Linked DNA regions of Arabidopsis thaliana. The protein of the gene in region 1 interacts with the protein of each later gene in a biochemical or structural test. Each region holds a gene or a part of one and is shown on either strand. Other genes may lie near its edges.

What was found.
Region 2: the proteins of LAF1 (region 1) and FHY1 form a complex in vitro, tested with the Arabidopsis thaliana proteins (one study listed by BioGRID).

Annotation. Positions count from the first base shown.
Region 1 is NC_003075.7:13,050,359-13,054,374, reverse strand, and holds LAF1 (myb domain protein 18), read right to left. Parts: upstream 1,873-4,016; 5' UTR 1,821-1,872; coding exon 1,694-1,820; intron 1,648-1,693; exon of another isoform or gene 1,607-1,647; coding exon 1,477-1,606; intron 1,397-1,476; coding exon 802-1,396; 3' UTR 633-801; downstream 1-632. Other genes in the region: ACYB-2 (Cytochrome b561/ferric reductase transmembrane protein family), read left to right, coding at 162-488; AT4G25550 (Cleavage/polyadenylation specificity factor, 25kDa subunit), read right to left, coding at 3,502-3,573, 3,657-3,767, 3,851-3,937. UniProt on the Arabidopsis thaliana protein: Transcription factor that promotes photomorphogenesis in the light by participating in the transmission of phytochrome A (phyA) signals to downstream responses. Probably acts by activating expression of light-induced genes.
Region 2 is NC_003071.7:15,800,865-15,804,883, reverse strand, and holds FHY1 (far-red elongated hypocotyl 1), read left to right. Parts: upstream 1-2,090; 5' UTR 2,091-2,187; coding exon 2,188-2,240; intron 2,241-2,561; coding exon 2,562-3,037; coding exon of another isoform or gene 3,038-3,063; exon of another isoform or gene 3,064-3,115; coding exon 3,116-3,195; 3' UTR 3,196-3,466; downstream 3,467-4,019. Other genes in the region: AT2G37680 (glucose-induced degradation-like protein), read left to right, coding at 423-566, 659-732, 818-872, 945-1,007, 1,104-1,231, 1,306-1,384. UniProt on the Arabidopsis thaliana protein: Key regulator of far red / red (FR/R) spectrum-specific responses essential for the adaption to changing light conditions (e.g. de-etiolation), essentially by regulating PHYA shuttling from the cytoplasm to the nucleus and by directly regulating the expression of some target genes, depending on light conditions and phosphorylation status.

The DNA.
Region 1 (4,016 bases):
TGAAAGAACAATTACAGACAGCAGAAAACACTGTATATAAAGCTATTGGACCGGCTGATTCATAGAAAATGGCTAACAAGTTGATCAATTTCTATGGAAAAATGTTTTTACCTATTGTTGTATATTGTTCCTGACCAGAACAAGAGTTTTGAACTTTACAGTGGGTGTACAGCTTCATAGTGTTCTTCTTCCCAGGAGGATCAACAAATTTGAAAAGCGGATTGCTTCCGTGGCACGCAATGCTTGGCCTGTTTGTTTACATACTTGCTGTCGGGAATGCAGCTTTAGGGTTTCTGGAAAAGCTGACTTTCTTGGAGAATGGAGGGCTTGACAAGTATGGATCCGAAGCATTTCTTATCAACTTCACGGCCATTATCACTATTCTCTTTGGTGCCTTTGTGGTACTCACTGCTTCTGCTGAGTCTCCTTCTCCTTCTCCTTCCGTCTCCAATGATGATAGTGTTGACTTCAGTTATTCTGCTATATAAAACACTTTCTACATTCCACGTTACATCTGTATCGCCCCTTGTACTCTCAAAACTCCATTTATGTATGATGCATTTGTAGCGAAAAGCTTTGTGTGTTACGGCTTTGCTACTTCTGGTGTGTAAAATCTTCAATGATATTGATGAATCTTTTAAATCATTTTCTTTTCTTTTCTTTTCTTTCATATTGCCATTCCTTTAACCATATATGCTATTTGCCTTATTGGTGTCAAAGCATTTAAGACAAAACAAAAAACAAAACATTTTTTTTCCGGTTTTGCCTTAGAAATTTGATTTACATTACAATAAACGCAATTTACGTCGTTGTTGATGGAGAAAAGAATTCAGCAGAAGAATTACAATCTGAAGCCTCTCTATAAATATGATGCTCCTGCTTCTTACATTTGGAACCAAACACAATGTCGTTAAGAGTCCAGTTGCTGTTGTTGATCATCATTTCGTTGTAATGGAACTGATCAACATCACCCATTTCTTCATAAGCTGAGAGAGTCTCTTCGACATTTGGAGCTTGACTGTGCTTAGAGTCGGTAAACTCAGAGGAATAATCGGTGTGGGGATATGAAGAAGAAAGCCATTCAGAGAAGAAAAGCCTTGGAATCTCAGGAGCAGAAGAACATTGATGGCTGTTATTTCCGTTGCTTTCTTGTGAGGGAGATGAAGATTTGTTCTCTAGAAGTCTCTGGAAGGAGAACACGTGATTCGAGATCAAGGTTTCCGGATTTCTTTTTCCACAAGCAACAAGTGATGATGATGAAGACGAAGGAGGGGAAATAGATTTTGCATCTTGTAAGCTCTGAGACTTGAGCCATTTCTTTTTCAAATGAGAGTGCCAATAGTTCTTTATCTCATTGTCTGTTCTTCCCGGTAAGAATTTAGCTATTTGCGACCACCTAATTACACCTAAATCATTAGTCTCTCTATAACTAGCATCTGCTAAAACAATAGGGTTAGGTCTTAGAGATACACTTACTTGTTACCCAAGGAAGAATGAAACGTCAAGATAGTCTCTTCTTCTTCTGCACTAATCATATCCCTCTTTAACCCTGGTCTTAGGTAATTAATCCATCTTAATCTGCAGCTCTTCCCATTCCTTTGTAACCCTATCAAATTAAATCCCAACAACAATTATCAAAGTTGACTCAGTTTGAGAAACTAAAAACTAATAAAGAAGAAGATGAAAGAGAGACCAGCTTTGATGGGAACAGTGGTCCAGCAAGAATGGCCATAAGAGAGGATGAAGCTCCTTAGCTTCTCGTCTTCTTCAGGTGACCATAACCCTTTCCTATGTCTCTCTCCATATTTCGTCTTCGCCATTTCTCTTTAGTCAGCTGTCTGTCCTGATACAAGAAAACATGTCTCAATACTATATATGGTGATTGAGACAACATATATATCACCAAACGTCCACAGATAGAGCCTACATACTTGGTGTTAAGAAATGACCAAATGGGCCTGCTTAGAGTAAATGACAAATGACATATATATTTCTATTTTTATGAAAATTTGGGATATAATTTATGTGTTAATTTCTTATGAGTATACTGTATGCATTTGTATAAGCAGTGAGGAGAAAAGTCATAATGGAATATGTAAGGATTAATTAGGTGTCAAAAGTCTGCTTGGATAAATTTAAATTATTGATATAATGTTCCAACTTAAAATAAATTAGCAATTTTCAGTATATATAAGATTTGAGATTCCTACCTATAAAAAAAAAAAAAAAGAAGAATCTTTGCTTGTTTTTGTTCTTTCACTTTGTTTTCTTATTGTTTGTTTTCCTTATATTTACTTCATTTATAATGGACGATGCCTTAAGAATTTACACACTAATCAGATAACATCTTCATATCCAAAAATCTCTAAAATGTCGGCAAGAATTTTATATTAACGACTTCTTTAATTTATGTTTAAATCGCGTCAATGAGTTTTTTGGTTAGAAACGATCATCCGGGTGGAATAATCTGTCTGATTCAATCCAATGATTGTGAATAATGAAGTAATGATTATAGAGAATCATCCAATCTGTTAATCTTTTCGTAAAGCATCATTAGCAAGCAGACAAATTGCATTTGCTAATACAAGTACTTGAAATAATTATTATATGATTTGAGAGCTCTTTTTCTCTTAATTATAAAATTTTGTAGTGAAGTCAACATTGAGCTCCTATTTGCTGCTAGTAATTATTTCATATTTTTTCCTCTCACGATGTTTTTCTTACATTCACACTGACAAGTGGACCAATAATAAGAGTTATTTGAGGAATATTGTGAATTTCAACAATTTGAATTCCTTCTGTCCCGATCGAAATGGCCTGTCCCAATTTTAAAAATACTCTGATTTTGTTTTTTACTTGTTGGCTCTTTTGGCCTGTGGAAAATGACGAGTAAAGAAAATTGAGAGGGAAACAATAAAAAAGTGTCTACCTTGTCTTGGTCGTCTTGATAACATAATATAATTTGCCGTCAAACTAATCCCCAATGAAACACGACTAATAAATTTTATACATCTAATGTTATGATGACTTAATCCTTAGCCCTCGGAGAATAAATTTTATACATCTAATGTTATGATAACTAGGATACTTTAGATTGTTCGTCTACAACAAAACTTCTCCTCCTTCGACCATTAGGCCTTGTGGTATGTTGATAAAACTTTATGAAATATGTTGACAAAGAAGGTTAAACATGGCTTAGTTTTATGCACCAAAATAAAAACATCATTCAACATTGAATGAAACACATGTTTTACGGTTAGAGAAGACAGGCGTTAGTCAAACAATGACAAATGCTTTTAAAAATGAGATACAATAATCTTTGTTTTTTGTGCTGACACTTTGAACCGGTTCTACATAAAAGCCAACAAGTCTATAATGCAAAAAACCCAACTCGCATCATTGGAAAACCCCATCTCTAATCCGGTAGCTACAGCTCTCTACCGTACCTAAGTAACTTACCCATCTGATAGGTTCCTTGTTCTTGAACACACCGAGTCGAAATCACGAACTAATCATGTTGAAATGGAATCTGGATAGCTGCTGCGGAATGGTTGATATAACCGGTCCATATCTCTGTTTCAAGAAAATAATATACGGTTAGATGTTTGAGGTAAAAACCATTTTCCAAAGGTTGGTATTCTGGATATAAGCAAAACCTGAACATTGTCATAGAGTTCGAACAAAGGGACGGCCAAGAGCTTCAAATTTTTGGGCACAGCAAAGTACTCTTTCTCAGACAAGTGAACAATGTAGAGTCTCTTGCATTCCTGCCATTCCACAAAAAAGAGGAGATATAAGGAGAAGAGTAAAGGGAAATTCTGAGAAGCTTTACATTGTGTTTTTTTACTACCTTTGGTTTCGTGATGTGAGGAGGGCAATACGGGTACATCATGGTTTCAAAGTTTGGACGCCACCATGTCGCAACACATTCTCCTACCTGTTAAAGGGACATAAAGTACCCAACGGATCAGGGACAGAGCTATATACATAACTCAATCAGACAACTGTGGACTCAT
Region 2 (4,019 bases), on another chromosome or scaffold:
GTGAGAGAGAGGCTATGGTAAGATGAGAAGGAAAGTTATAAGTTTCCATGATGTTTAGCTACTTAGGTTAGCATAAAAGAACTTAAAGATCTCGTGTCTCGTTGTTCAGGCACAAAGCATCATTCATAGGCAGGCAACAAACATCATGGGTCTAGTTACTTTCTTCCCATTAGATCTGCAACTTGTTCAAGTGTTCTGGTTGCATAACGATTCTCTAGTAATGCTGATTTTTGTTATACCAATTAGAAGTTGGCCTTGTCTGCTTTGATTGGCTTCATATCTTTTTCATGTTGACATGTATGCTTAATTCAAGTGCATTTGTATCTAGTTGGGATTGTATAACATTCATTGGCTCAAAGAGATTGTTTATTCATAATGAACCTAAAGATGAGGAACACACATGTTTTTATGCTGTGCTGCAGGCATTTTCTGGTACGCAAAATGTCTCTAATCAACAGAAGGAGGAAGCTTGGAGAGTCAACGTCCAGATACAGGGTATTGACCTTGAACATGGTTATCTTTGTGGCACCATGGAAGCTCTAAACGTTCCCATGGCAGACACTCCTGTAAGCCCTTACACTCTTACTCATTTTTTCTTCATATTGCTTCCCCTTGAATTTCTAATAGGGGACACGATTCTTGATTCTGTGAGTGTCAGGTCATAACATTCTGGGAAGGGGAAATCGTTGATGGAAAGAATTATACCTTTTACACCGGAAAATGGGAAGCAACGTATGTCCCAATTCCTATATTCTTGTAGATTTGAAACTGATGATTTCTTATCGTGAATAAATTTTTGAAAGTTTGTTTGTCACAGGAGGGAAGATGATATGAGACATTGGTCAAAGTTCCCGTCTTTTTCGCCTCTTCAGGTAACACTCGAGTAACATTGTTTGTATAGTCAGTAACATCTCCTAAGCAACGTTCTGGACTTAATACTGCAGGGACAAGTTGAATCTGATGGTGGCAGGCAATTGGATCTTAACAATTATCCTTATATATTTATGGTATAACTCTCAGTTTTTCCTATCGAATCCAATCATCATTTTCTCTCAAGTATTCCATAATTCCTGCAACTCGGGTTTATTTTTGTGGTGGTGCAGAGATGGAAAGAGCAATACTTTGTAAACGTTGGCACAGATTGTGGACTAACAATAGCTGGATTTTACTACGTATGCTTCTCCTGCAGCGATGGTTCCATCAGCGGTTTCTATTATGATCCAAACAGCAGGTTAGTCCAAGATACAAACTATATAATCTGTTGTTGTTTGAGATAAAACCTGATGATATTTTGTTTCTGGACAGTCCGTTTCAGAAGCTGGAGCTGAAAACAGTTAACGAAGGAAGATCTGGTTTCAGCTTTTCTTCTTACGAGTTGCAATGATGAATGCTACCAAAATCATCAGACAGCGCCATATGATACTCTCGTCTAAACATGCGATGCACGTGATCCAGTACATTATGACGTGTCAATTATTATAAATTATTAGTAAGATATTTTTTTGCTTAGCTAGTAGACCAGACCAAGTAAAGAACTAAAAATACTATTTTGTCATTATGGTACCAAGCTAATAGTTTATCTGGAAAAAGAACAAATTGTCCAAAAAAATAATTACCAAATAGTTGAGAAGTTTTTCTAAAAATTTTTGTAAAAAAAATCCAAATTCTTCTAAAATTAAGTTTTTAATAGAAATTTAAAAAGACAGTTCTACATCATATTATTTTCTTTAAATAATGATATAAAATTTATAAACTATTATCTTTGTAAGATAATGAATATTTATACCTATGTAAGGGAAAAATTGATAAATATTTATACATCCTCATCCAAAAGCCCATAAAATCGTTATGGGACAATAGTAAAAAAGATTGCAAAATCGTATGGAGCGAAAGATAAAAATAAAAAACGGTCCCGTGTAAGAAGATGGGTCACCTCGCCAACACGTAGACTCTTTTCACGCGCCAAATCAAACACCATGTCGACGAGATCAACGGATTCAAATGTTTCGTGTAATACACGCTCCAACGTAGCGCGTCGTACACTTGATGCTTAATTTATGTATTTTAAGTTACGCAGTTTCCAGATTTTCAGACCCTCTGAAAGTGGAAAGAGCATTTTTTAAAAGAGTAATAAGAAAAACAATTATCTTTGAACTCTCTCTATCTCTCTCTCTCTCTCTGCGATCTATGCCTGAAGTGGAAGTGGATAACAACAACGAGAAGCCATCTGAGATTAACAGGTTTCAGTTTCTCAATCTATTCCTATATATTATCATTAGAGATCAAATTTCTTATTATGCTTCTTCTCAGTTTCTTTAAGATACAGAGGATTGACTGATTATGTATGTATTCATGTCAATGGTTGACCAAAAATCATAGCTGCAGAGGATGATTGAAGTTTTATCTTGATTTTAGCTTATTTAATCGTTGAGATTAAGAAAGTTTTCCTGTTATTCTTTCCTAAACCCTTATTAAGTTCAAGATTAATAAAGTCAATTTCATATATTTGGTGATTAAGATCCATCCACTATCTTAATATGTGTTGTTCTTTTTTTTTGCAGTTTCCATCACATGATCATAAGTAGTAGTAAAAATGTGTTGAAAATGGAAGAAGTTGAGGTGAGCAAGAAGAGGAAATTTCAGACAGATCAATCTGATGAGTTATCGTTATTACCTCTGTCAAAACACACTTGTTTTGCCAATGTTGCTTGTTCAGAGAATACAAATGGTAACTCGGAGATTGATACAGAGTATTCAATGTCTTCTTATGTGAACTCAACAACTTCTATGGAGTGTAACAATGATATAGAGATGAAAGAGGAATCATCTGGATCATGCGGTGAAGACAAGATGATCTCTTTCGAAAGCCATCTAGATTACATCTATGGGACTCAGAACTTAGAGGATTTTTCAGAGAAAGTCATTGAAAACATTCTCTATCTCGATGAACAAGAAGAAGAAGAGGAAGATGCTAAAGGATGTAGTAGTAATGCTGCTAAGTTTGTTCTGTCCTCTGGAAGATGGACTGTTAACCAAGGTAAAGAAAACCGGATTTTGGTTTGACCGTATTGATTCAATGAACCGGGGATTCACTAACTTGGTTTCATGTGTACAGATGATTCTACTCTACATGAGACAAAGAAGCCTACCATTGATCAAGAATTTGAACAATACTTCTCAACGCTAATGCTGTAACAAAATGATGTTGAGACTCAAAACATATATGAAGAGATGTATGTACATAGAACTGTACTCGTTCTGTTTTGATTCTTGTCAACCTTAAAAAAACGTTCAATTCAAAGTGATTAGAGAGCTTCTTTGAAATGTTTGCAACTCTAGTCTTCAACTTTTAAGATTTTTATTAGCTTGCAAAACTAATCTTGCTTATATATCTTGTTCTGCCTGGATCAGAAATAAAAGTTAGTATAAAAAAATTCTGAGATGATTATGACACTCTGATCCTTCATATGAACCAATCTTGTGTTCAAGAGTATCCCTGATGTATTTCAGTACCAACTTAACTGAGAAATGAGAGTCAATGTTCTTTAATAAGTTTGTTCAGATGATATCTTCTTCTTTTTTTGGTTGGTCACCTATATTCAATCTGCTCTCTCCAAATTATCTCCAATACACTCTCTTCTGAACATAATACAAAAATTCATAACTTTTTCTTATTATGGTCAAAAGTCTTGTTAATATTCAACTTGTTCCTTTCTAATGTAAAATCTAAACTGATTTAATAAAGAAAAAGATGATAGCTTATTGATATTCTTCCTAGTAAAACATTTTGGCATGATGGTCAAGACTCAAGATTTGCTAGAATGTGGTTCCCTCGCATTATCAGTCTTCTTGGTCAATGTCTAGTAGTTTTAAATTCGCTATAAAAATAGCAAAAAAAAACAAAAACAAAAAATTGTTGATTAAAAAGAAATTAACACCAAACTTTAAAAATAGTTATCCTTAGTAATTTTATGTAAGTATCTTTAACACGTAAAGTCGAACATAGTATATGATTTTGT